Arabidopsis thaliana: one gene and its partners. The protein of the gene in region 1 interacts with the protein of each later gene in a biochemical or structural test. Each region holds a gene or a part of one and is shown in the gene's direction. Other genes may lie near its edges.

Region 1 (3,758 bases):
ATGATTAAATTATCACTATAATAAAGTTTAGATTTGATTCTGTTCGAAGTTGAATCCTGGTTTTAAGAAATGAATATCTTAAAATGTTTGAATTTTTTTTGTGGATAACTTTACATTAGCAAATTTTATGTCACAACTAAACTACAGTGTAAACTTTATGATATTTTTTTTTTTCTGAATTTATTCAACTATATGCTATATAATTTGGGTAATTTATTTTGAACATGCCTAATTTATATGGACCTAAAGATGCATATTTTGGGCCTTAAATTAGTTGGATACATATATGGGTTTAAATTCTAACCTTTAATAAGCCTATAAGCCCAAAAAATAACAGTTTGTAAGTTATCTGACAAAGGATTTTAATAATAAAGCTGCATATAAAATTGAAAAGAAATGCATGTTGTATAATATTAATTGATACTTTGGCAGTGTCGCTTATTACAAAGGCAGTTGCATGTGATGTGCTTGCAAACTCGCATTTTATCTTCCCTTACCTTTTTGTTTTTAGAAAATAGTATATTTTTTCATCATGATTACTTGGAAACTTGGAAGCTGTGACAAAATATTGGTTTTGAGTGCTTCTGATAAAACCTTGTATTTTGAACTTGAAAACTTTTGTTTTCAGCCATTTTTTTAACTTACTACGATGACGGTCACTTGTTTTGGGATGAAACTTTTTACTACTTGGTGTTGGTGATGCATGGTTTCTATAATTCCTCTTATACAACAAAACTTTTTTGGTTTTTGTCAAAAATTGTATATAACCAACCTTCTTTTTATTAGGATCGCACGTCAGGCCACTTAAAAAGAAGTAAAGAACAATGAGAGATCGATGTAAAAAGAATAAAGGAACAAAAGAGAAAGTAATGGACAGTTCATCACAATTCACACACCAAAAAGAAAACAGCTGAACATTTGTTAGAATCTCAACACTTTCCAAACACACGAAAACAAAATGACACTCATTTCTCACCGACAATAGTGATGAAAATATATCATGGCCGAACTAATTGGTAGTATTATTAGTTTGAGATTGGTATTTTTTGTAACAGTTTGATATTGAATTGTTGATTGATGACCACGAGAAAAAAGAAGTACGATTTATATCATTTGTTGGTTTACTGTATATAGATGATCATTTGGTGTCCTTCTGGTTTCGAGAAAAACAACAAGTGGTTAAAAGTGTAGTTCGAGAAAAAGATTTGGTTAGGACATGTAATTCTTTATTTGAGCTTTTAATCCAACGAACGGGGTTAGATTTTCCTTGCGACGGTGGCTTTGGATGATCCTTAACGGCACGATCTGATCATTACATATTTACATTGACGAAAGAGCACGTGTAAAAAAACTCGTTCACTGGTCTGGTTGACTTTTATTACATACTGTCTGGTCGCTATATATCTATCAAATCTCTATGCATTAACAATTAATGCAACGTTGCTCATTAATTAAGTATGTATTTTTTGTTATTTTACAAGTAGTATTGATATTACAGGAGTTAAAATGTTATAAAAGAAACTACAAACATTTATTCGTAAGTTTATTCATTTATATTTTTTAAAAAATTGGTAAAGATGAAAGAATTTACCTTGGGGAAGAGATCAACGGATTTCGAGAGAAGTACTACTACACAACATTTATTCGTCAAACATGTATGTATTTGTATGTTTATGCATGTATTATGTATCAAATAAATGCATGTTATATGAGTAATAAAGAAAGGTCTTCTGACCATAACAGAGAAATTAATTAAGAACCAGTTGAAGTAAATAAATAACTCTAAATTGTGGAAATTTTAGATCAAAAGTAGATAAATAGTCAGATATTTCATGTGGATTTTACGTATTTTAAGGATCTAATTCATTTTATGCTTTTAAAAAATTTCATTCACTTTCTTCGAAGCAGTAAAACAGTCTGTCAATGTGAAACTTATGAACAATCAACATAAGAAACAAAAATTAAACAAAATTTGTATTTATTGTCTTCTTCTCAGCAGAACTTCTCTCCACTTAATTTTGTTTCTTGCTCTGTCCCAAAAACATTGTTTCATTTTTTTATCTCCCAATTTCCCTAGAAAATCTGCTTCCGATCTAAAAAAATCTCTAGAATTTATGTACAAAACACCATTTTTTTAGACTACTAAACAAATACTAACACTAATCTCGGCTACAATAACAGAAAGACCTTCTGTTCCTTAAGCCACAATAACATCTTTCTTTCTAATTTCTCTGTAATTCTTCCTGAGAGAATGCATAGTTCCTCTAAAAGCCAGGCCTTTTCTCTCACTTTTCTTCTCTTTCTTTTTCTTCTGCCATCAGTCTCAGAATCACAGCTAATATCAAGTGAATCAAGAACTCTATTAGAAATCCAAAAGCATTTACAATATCCACCAACTCTTCGATCATGGAGCAACTGGACCAATTTCTGCTACCTCCCTTCTTCTCCTTCTTTCAAAATCCTCTGTTTCAATGGTCATGTAACTGAATTAACCGTCACGGGGAACAGAACCGTTAAGCTCCCCGGAAGATTCTCAAGCGACTCACTATTCACTGTTCTTACAAAACTCTCAAACTTAAAGACATTGTCTCTGGTCTCTCTTGGCATCTCTGGTCCTCTCCCTTCACAGATCATCAGGTTATCTTCATCTCTTCAATCTCTGAATCTCAGTTCTAATTTCATCTCTGGGAATATTCCTAAAGAGATCTCGTCGTTGAAGAATCTGAGAAGTCTTGTTCTAGCGAACAATTTGTTTAACGGAAGTGTTCCTGATCTCAGAGGATTGTCGAATCTTCAAGAGCTGAATTTAGGCGGTAATAAACTCGGTCCTGAAGTTGTTCCTTCACTTGCAAGTAACTTGATTACTATTTCATTGAAGAACAACTCTTTTGGATCAAAGATTCCAGAACAGATCAAGAAGCTGAATAAGCTTCAGAGCTTAGATCTTTCCTCCAACAAGTTCACTGGCTCAATCCCAAGATTCCTGCTTTCGCTTCCTTCGCTTCAGAATCTAAGTTTAGCACAAAACTTGCTGAGTGGATCACTTCCAAATTCATCGTTGTGCAACTCCAAGCTTAGAATTTTAGATGTTTCTCGGAATCTTCTGACTGGGAAGCTTCCATCTTGCTTCTCTTCCAAGAAACAGACAGTACTGCTCTTCACATTCAATTGCTTGTCTATAAATGGTTCTCCTTCTGCAAAGTATCAGCGTCCAGTTACCTTCTGTGAAAACGAAGCAAAGCAAGCAGTAGCTGCTGTGAAGTCTGACACTAAAGATAAAGAAAGGAAAGAAGAAGATACAGGAATCGAACTTGGATTGGTGATTGGCATTATCATCGGTGTGATCCTCGTTTCAGCGGTTTTAGCTGGCTTGGTTTTGGTTAGGATGAGAAAATCAAGATCAAAAGAAGAGCCTTTGGAAGCAAACAACGTCGATCAGGTCACTGTTTGCAGCAACACCACCAGGTCCACCACATCAAAGACAGTACCAGATCTAAGTAGGCTATTACTTTGAAATCTTGAATCAAGTTTTCACACCCATTAACCTAACTAGCTTGATTTTTTCAAATGCAGGACGTGTACCGCAAACCATGAGATCCGCGGTGATTGGACTATCACCATACCGAGTTTTCTCTTTGGAGGAACTGGAAGAAGCAACCAACAATTTTGATGCAGAGAATCTCTGTGGAGAACAGGTAAAGGAAAATGTAAATAAGACATGATTTAAAATTGATCCGAGTGTCTAACTAATCGATATA
Region 2 (3,758 bases), on another chromosome or scaffold:
AACTTGCTAATTTTTGGACGCCTTTGAACTAGCTTTATCTACCAAGTGATCTGATATCTAGAGTCGTGAAGTGCATATACTGCCTAAATTTGTTGCTATTGAACTTTTGGGTTTGTGATACAAGCACTTATGGGTCTCTACTTTTGTAAAAAAATTTCAGCTAAAGGAACTTGAGAAGATGGGGCCGAAGAAGGGTGTAATTAGTCAGTCTGTGAAAGATGTTATCCAGAGTTTAGTCGATGATGATCTTGTTGCGAAAGACAAGATTGGAATTTCTGTGAGTAGCTTAGTGTTCCTATGTTGGATCTTTTTATTTCATTTGTTGCCATATAGTCCTTGTCTCTGTTATATGTTGTTTGACGGTGTTCATTATTTTGCAAATGAAGATCTACTTTTGGAGCCTTCCCAGCTGTGCTGGCAATCAAGTGAGTCACCGTTCTGTATCCTGAGATGACATCAAAAAGATTCATATTAATTTGAGCATAGCGAAATTCATTGTTTCTGATCTCATTTTGAATGAACAGCTTAGGAGTGTTCGCCAGAAACTTGAATCTGATCTTCAGGGTAGTAACAAAAGGTTAGCAGAACTTGTTGATCAGTGTGAGGCCCTAAAGAAGGGAAGGGAAGAATCGGTAAGTATTTTCAGTATTGTAGAATTAATGCTCGAATAAGCTTACGTGTGCTTTTCACCAGAATTGCTGTTCTTGCTGCAGGAGGAACGAACAGAGGCCTTGACGCAACTCAAAGATATTGAAAAGAAACACAAAGATCTGAAGGTCAGATTATACAGACTATCTGTTTGCATAGAGCTATTCACATGCTTAACAAGTTGCTAACAGTTTCTTCTTCTTAAACAGAACGAGATGGTACAATTTGCTGACAACGATCCAGCTACTTTGGAGGCAAAGAGTTAAGTTCTGCATAATACGTTACTTTTGTTTTGTGTTAGATCTCCTATATGGTTTTCCCGGTCTTCGTGGAGCAGAAATAAGAATCAATCTTGTGCTTTACTAGCTGTATCAATGTGTATATTCCTTCTAATTTTGACAGGGAATGCAATTGAAGTTGCTCACCAGTCGGCTAACAGATGGACAGGTATTTCATTTCTAAAACTTGGGAATGTGTTTTCAGTTTTAATACTTACGTAATTTTCACTGCAGCCTAGATTATAATTCTTTCAAACTTACTCAGATAACATCTTCACACTGCGACAATGGTGTTCAAACAACTTCCCCCAGGCCAAGGAACAGCTAGAACATCTATACACGGAGGTATCTTCCAGATCTTTTCACTTCAAAAGGCTATAAATTCCACATTTCACATTCTCATACATGAAGGAGAGACTAAATCAGCTGGGTAACTTTCAGGCGGGAATCACTGAGGACTTTGATTACATAGAGTTATCATCATTCCCTTTGAGCTCATCCCATGAAGCTGATACCGCAAAGCAGCTAGTACAAGATGAAGCTTAGTTCTAATACTCTCCAGCATAACAGTTAAAGAAACAATAGCTTAAGTAAAAAATCTTTTCACTATCCTTTTAAGTTTTCTGGTTTTAAAGGTTGCAACAGTCTGTAATTCTCTATGTGACCCAATCATCTAATGTCAAAACTCGGTTACAAATTCTGTGGTCAGAAAAGATTTTTATTTTCTTTGTATCTGTCGGCTATGTCCAAGCTTGGCTATGTTTTGTTATAATATTTTATTGGAGTTATATATATATCATGCGTTAGTTGTTGACCCACTGGTTACTTCTTGATAGCTGTATTACCATTTTATATTCTTTCTTGGCCGCTTTTTTCAGTCGTGAGCAGCACTTATGTTATACACCTCCAGGTCAATTTTGTTGCTACCAGAAGAGGAAATGGGCATAGACTTTGTACTTTCTAGTCTTTTGTGTTTTTGTGTTATCTTAAACGCAGGTTGTCTGTTTTTCTGACGATGATGAGCTGAGCTTTACAAAATAAGAAGAACATGGGAGCTCACTCTGTTTTTCTCATCCTTTTTTCCGTCATTGCCATTGCCATTGTAGTACATGGCCAAGGCCAAGCAGGTTCGTGAGTCTCATTCTCGCTTATTTTCCTCTGTTAGAGTCTGTTTTGATTTGAAAATGAGCAATCTTCAGACCAAAGATTTTTGAAGTTTTGATATATGTGGTTGCATTTTGGCCAAAACCGTGTTCTGATTATTGGTTTGACATGATAAGTGAGGTCCAAGTCTGTTTCTATGATTGAATGCTTTAGGTTCTAAAATTTAAACCTGCATTGGAATTTTGATGAAAATTTTCTCAACGTTGTAGAATTAATCAAAACCCTTACCTTCTTCTGGTCCAGGTTTCATCAGCATAGATTGTGGGTCACCCCCTAATATTAACTATGTAGACACTGATACTGGTATCAGTTACACCTGGGATGCACCTTTCATCAACGCTGGAGTAAATCTGAACGTCTCTGAAGAATACGGTTACCCGAAAAACCCGGTTTTGCCTTTCCCGCTTGCTGATGTAAGATCTTTTCCTCAAGGAAACAGGAACTGTTACACCTTAACCCCCTCCGATGGAAAAGGGAATCTTTATCTCATCAGAGCTTCGTTTATGTATGGAAACTACGATGGTAAAAATGCTTTACCTGAGTTTGATCTCTACGTAAACGTGAATTTCTGGACCTCGGTGAAACTCAGAAATGCTTCTGAGAACGTCATCAAGGAGATCCTCAGCTTTGCAGAGTCAGATACAATATATGTTTGCCTTGTGAACAAAGGTAAAGGAACTCCTTTTATTTCAGCGTTGGAGCTTCGACCAATGAACAGCTCCATCTATGGAACTGAGTTTGGAAGAAATGTCTCATTGGTACTCTATCAAAGATGGGATACAGGATATTTGAATGGAACAGGACGGTACCAAAAGGATACATATGATCGTATTTGGTCTCCGTACTCTCCAGTGTCTTGGAATACAACTATGACTACTGGGTATATCGATATTTTTCAGTCTGGTTATAGGCCACCAGATGAAGTTATTAAGACAGCTGCTTCGCCTAAAAGTGACGATGAACCATTGGAACTGTCTTGGACATCAAGCGATCCAGATACTCGGTTTTATGCGTACCTTTATTTTGCAGAACTTGAAAATCTCAAGAGGAATGAGAGCAGAGAAATCAAGATATTCTGGAATGGGTCGCCTGTTTCAGGAGCTTTTAACCCCTCTCCTGAGTATTCAATGACAGTGTCTAACTCACGAGCTTTCACTGGTAAAGATCACTGGATTTCTGTTCAGAAGACCGCAGAGTCAACGCGTCCACCAATACTCAATGCTATTGAGATTTTTTCAGCACAATCTCTGGATGAATTTTACACCAGAATTGACGATGGTGTGTTCATCTCTACTTTGTTAGTCGTCTACGTATATTTTGTTCTGGTCTTTAATTTTCACTGACACTCACAGTTTTCCATTTTCTATTGGTAATGCAGTTCAAGCCATAGAAAGCATAAAATCAACGTATAAAGTGAATAAGATTTGGACTGGTGATCCTTGCTCTCCCAGACTCTTCCCTTGGGAAGGTATTGGATGCAGCTACAACACTTCTAGTTATCAAATCAAGTCCCTGTAAGTCATTCATTCATTTCAACCTGAAAAAACTCATTGTGTAATTTCCCTCAAACTTAAGTTTTGCTGATGAGCTTGTTTCTGTATTTTGCTGCGAGAAGAAATCTTAGTTCAAGTGGATTACATGGACCAATAGCGTTCGCATTTAGAAATC
Region 3 (3,758 bases), about 18 Mb from region 1:
AACAATAAATACTCTTTGTGGTTTTTATTATTGCTCCTTGATTAGGAAATTCTACAGTTCAATTCTGCACCGCGCAACAACTAAAAAGATTAAACTATCTCCTCGAAAGATTTTAATCAAAACATTGATATAACTCACGGAACAACAATTTTAAACCGCAAAAACACGCTGCTTTCTCATGCTGTAAAAAGTTATACTGTAGAATTAGATATTGAACTGACTTACTTTCATTAATTCGCAAACTATGAGTATTTATTCACAATGAACTCAACAAGATATAAACACAAACTCCTAAAATATAGGACATAAACTCTATCACCAAAGATATCGTACTAATCTAATTCTCAATTTTTAATCTTCATAGTTCCTTATTATATAACCAAGATAATAGTTGTCTAGTTGAAACTTGAAATAGCTCAAGGATGGAGAATTTATCGTCTTTCACTTTACTTTTCTTTTATTCAACTTTCTCACTTTCTCCAATGTATAACTACTTCAGTACTTCAATACTCACTAGACCAGGGAAAATGTATGAAATTTCAATTGTATATTTGTATGCATGCTTTAGATATTTATTTTTTTCCAAGATTCAGATTATATCGAAGTAACATTTTTTGTAATTGTGGGCATTGGTCAAACACCTAGTACTTCTGTTTTATGTCAGACTTGAAGAATCTAGAGAATCTTAGGAACAGTAGTCAGACTTTGATGTTTCGAAATATACAAATATAAACAGTACCGTACTTAATCAACGGTCATATTATAAATTCATACAAATAAAAGACAACGGGGTATTAAATACTGAAGATTAGAGAACATTTTAAGTCTTTTATGGATTTATGATTCAGTGATTCAAAGACTCACAGTGCAATATTGATGTATCTAGGAATTTACACTAAGAAATCGACAGTGATTATAAATAGTACTCAGTTGCTTGGACAAAACTAAAGATTTATAAAGAAAAATCCGACAAAAGGCATAATTGGGAATTGAACTCTTTTTTGACAAGAAACTTTGGAATGAAGTTTTGTTGTTGTTCAAGCATAGTTTTTTTTTTTAATATGAGTAATTTTGAATTTACTGCACTGTTCTAGGTTTCCGACCTAAAGGGATTATTTGATAAATCTTTAAACATTTACTAGTATTACATACTCCTTCCGTGTCAGGTATCACTTTAATTAAGTGATGTTCACTATATTTAAGTTTGTCTTTTGGTGTATGTTTTTATATTAGTTGAGTTCATTTTGGGATGTTCAAATAATTAGTTCCGCCAATTTCTAGCAAAACAAAGAACAGAAAAAGCTTTTCCTTATAGATTTTAAACTTTTGTATGGAAGAAGTCTACAAAACCGGAAAATAAAGGGTGAGAAATTTAATTTATCCATTAATTTTTGTGGGATTACGAATTCGAAAACCATTTTTGTGGGAATACGAAAACCACTTTGAAGGTTTAAAGTAACAATTTTTTTATTTTGATGGTTTATTGTGAGAGTTCAAAATCTTGAAAGTTTTTAAAGTGTAAGTTGTTGCTACTTTGAAGGTTTTTTATAAGATTTTTCGGTAAAATAATCTTATTCTCATTAAATAATAAATAATACAATTAAGGTTTTATATACAATTGATAAAGGTCTAAACCAGAAGCCACTAAACGGAAAATCTAAGACTGGTTTATACAATACCAATTTGTATAGACTCTCTATGAACTATTGTATATACAACATTTCTATGCAATCAAAAGCTATATACAATAATATTGATATCACTTAATCAAATTCACAATGTTAGACTTGTTTTGCGAAATATCATTAATTTGAAAACTAATTCTATAATTAGATAATATTTTTAGAATTTTTGATTAAAAAAATCTACATTTCGTATCATTCATAAATAACTTAAAAACTGTAGAATCACAAACATGATCAAATTATACATAAAAATTTATTTTATCTTATTTATAGTTTCTGAAATACATTGATGGAAGGGTTTGATTGGTGTAGGCAACAAAGAATAAATGCTTGATGGTACAAGACAAACAGACACCTTCTTCTCCCACTCTTAAATTACACACACTTACTTACACACACATAAGCTTGCACGTGGTTCTTGTTCACATGGTGGAAGCCACAGATGTATATAGAGAGACAGAGAGAGAGAGGAAACAAAACCAAACCTTTTGCTGCAGAAGAGACAGACTATTAAATTGCTTCACCTGCTTTACTTACTTTCCAGCCAAGGCACACTCTCCACGCACTCATCTTTTCTCAAATCTCTCTCTATATAGATTTGTGTCCAGAAATTAATGGGTTTGGTTCGGAAACTTATGACTGGTAATACCCAGATCTTATTCTATGTTTCTTGAAACTCTCTTCTCGAGGCAAATGCAGCTACTTCTTCATGCTTTTGTTCTTCTTCTTCTTCGTTTATCAAGAAATTGTTAACGAAATAGCTTAACCGGGTTTGAGTTCGGTTTAGGATCCGATAACCGCAAATGCAGATTGGGAAATTGATTTGGGTAATAATGTTCATATTCGTTCACATTATTATTACATCATCTCGAAGTTTCTCGGATTCTATTATTACCGAACGAGAGATTCTACTTCAATTCAAAGACAACATCAACGATGATCCGTACAACAGTTTAGCTTCTTGGGTCTCTAATGCTGACCTCTGTAACAGCTTCAATGGTGTATCTTGTAACCAAGAAGGATTCGTCGAAAAGATCGTTCTTTGGAACACTAGTCTCGCCGGAACCCTAACGCCGGCATTGTCTGGTTTAACTTCTTTAAGGGTTTTGACTCTGTTTGGCAACAGGATTACAGGTAATTTACCTTTGGATTACTTAAAGTTACAGACTTTATGGAAGATCAATGTTAGTTCCAATGCATTGTCTGGTTTGGTTCCTGAATTTATCGGTGATTTGCCTAATTTAAGGTTCTTGGATTTGTCGAAAAATGCGTTCTTTGGAGAGATTCCAAATTCTCTGTTTAAATTCTGTTACAAGACAAAGTTTGTTTCATTGTCTCATAACAATCTCTCAGGATCAATCCCTGAATCAATCGTAAACTGTAACAATCTCATTGGTTTCGATTTCTCTTACAATGGCATTACCGGTTTGTTGCCTCGGATCTGCGATATTCCGGTTCTTGAGTTTGTATCTGTTAGAAGAAATTTGTTGTCTGGTGATGTGTTTGAGGAGATATCGAAGTGTAAGAGATTGAGTCATGTCGATATAGGAAGCAATTCTTTCGATGGAGTAGCGTCTTTCGAGGTTATTGGATTCAAGAACCTGACTTATTTTAATGTGTCTGGAAACCGGTTTAGAGGGGAGATTGGTGAGATTGTTGATTGTAGTGAAAGTTTGGAGTTTTTGGATGCTTCTTCGAATGAGTTAACTGGTAATGTACCTAGCGGTATAACCGGATGCAAAAGTCTTAAGCTTTTGGACTTGGAATCGAATAGGCTCAATGGGAGTGTACCTGTAGGTATGGGGAAGATGGAGAAGCTCTCTGTGATCAGGTTAGGCGATAACTTTATAGATGGGAAGCTACCACTTGAGCTCGGAAATCTTGAGTATCTACAGGTTTTGAATTTGCATAATCTCAATCTCGTTGGTGAAATACCAGAGGATTTATCAAACTGCAGACTACTTCTTGAACTGTGAGTCTTTGTATCTCTTCTATGCTGATATTTAGTGAGTTTTTGATTCGTTTATCTAACTTTTTAGTTTTGTTAATCTTTGTTGTTTGTTGTAGAGATGT

Evidence for each region.
Region 2: the proteins of AT1G14390 (region 1) and RHS16 form a complex in vitro, tested with the Arabidopsis thaliana proteins (one large-scale study listed by BioGRID).
Region 3: the proteins of AT1G14390 (region 1) and AT1G62950 form a complex in vitro, tested with the Arabidopsis thaliana proteins (one large-scale study listed by BioGRID).

Annotation. Positions count from the first base shown.
Region 1 is NC_003070.9:4,922,026-4,925,783, forward strand, and holds the start of AT1G14390 (Leucine-rich repeat protein kinase family protein), read left to right. Parts: upstream 1-2,011; 5' UTR 2,012-2,251; coding exon 2,252-3,497; intron 3,498-3,573; coding exon 3,574-3,695; intron 3,696-3,758.
Region 2 is NC_003075.7:14,383,657-14,387,414, forward strand, and holds the start of RHS16 (root hair specific 16), read left to right. Parts: upstream 1-1,814; 5' UTR 1,815-1,974; coding exon 1,975-2,053; intron 2,054-2,333; coding exon 2,334-3,368; intron 3,369-3,468; coding exon 3,469-3,604; intron 3,605-3,665; coding exon of another isoform or gene 3,666-3,705; coding exon 3,706-3,758. Other genes in the region: ATMND1 (Mnd1 family protein), read left to right, coding at 161-277, 387-425, 525-632, 714-776, 858-909, 1,051-1,095, 1,192-1,271, 1,368-1,472.
Region 3 is NC_003070.9:23,312,806-23,316,563, forward strand, and holds the start of AT1G62950 (leucine-rich repeat transmembrane protein kinase family protein), read left to right. Parts: upstream 1-2,065; 5' UTR 2,066-2,488; coding exon 2,489-3,657; intron 3,658-3,752; coding exon 3,753-3,758.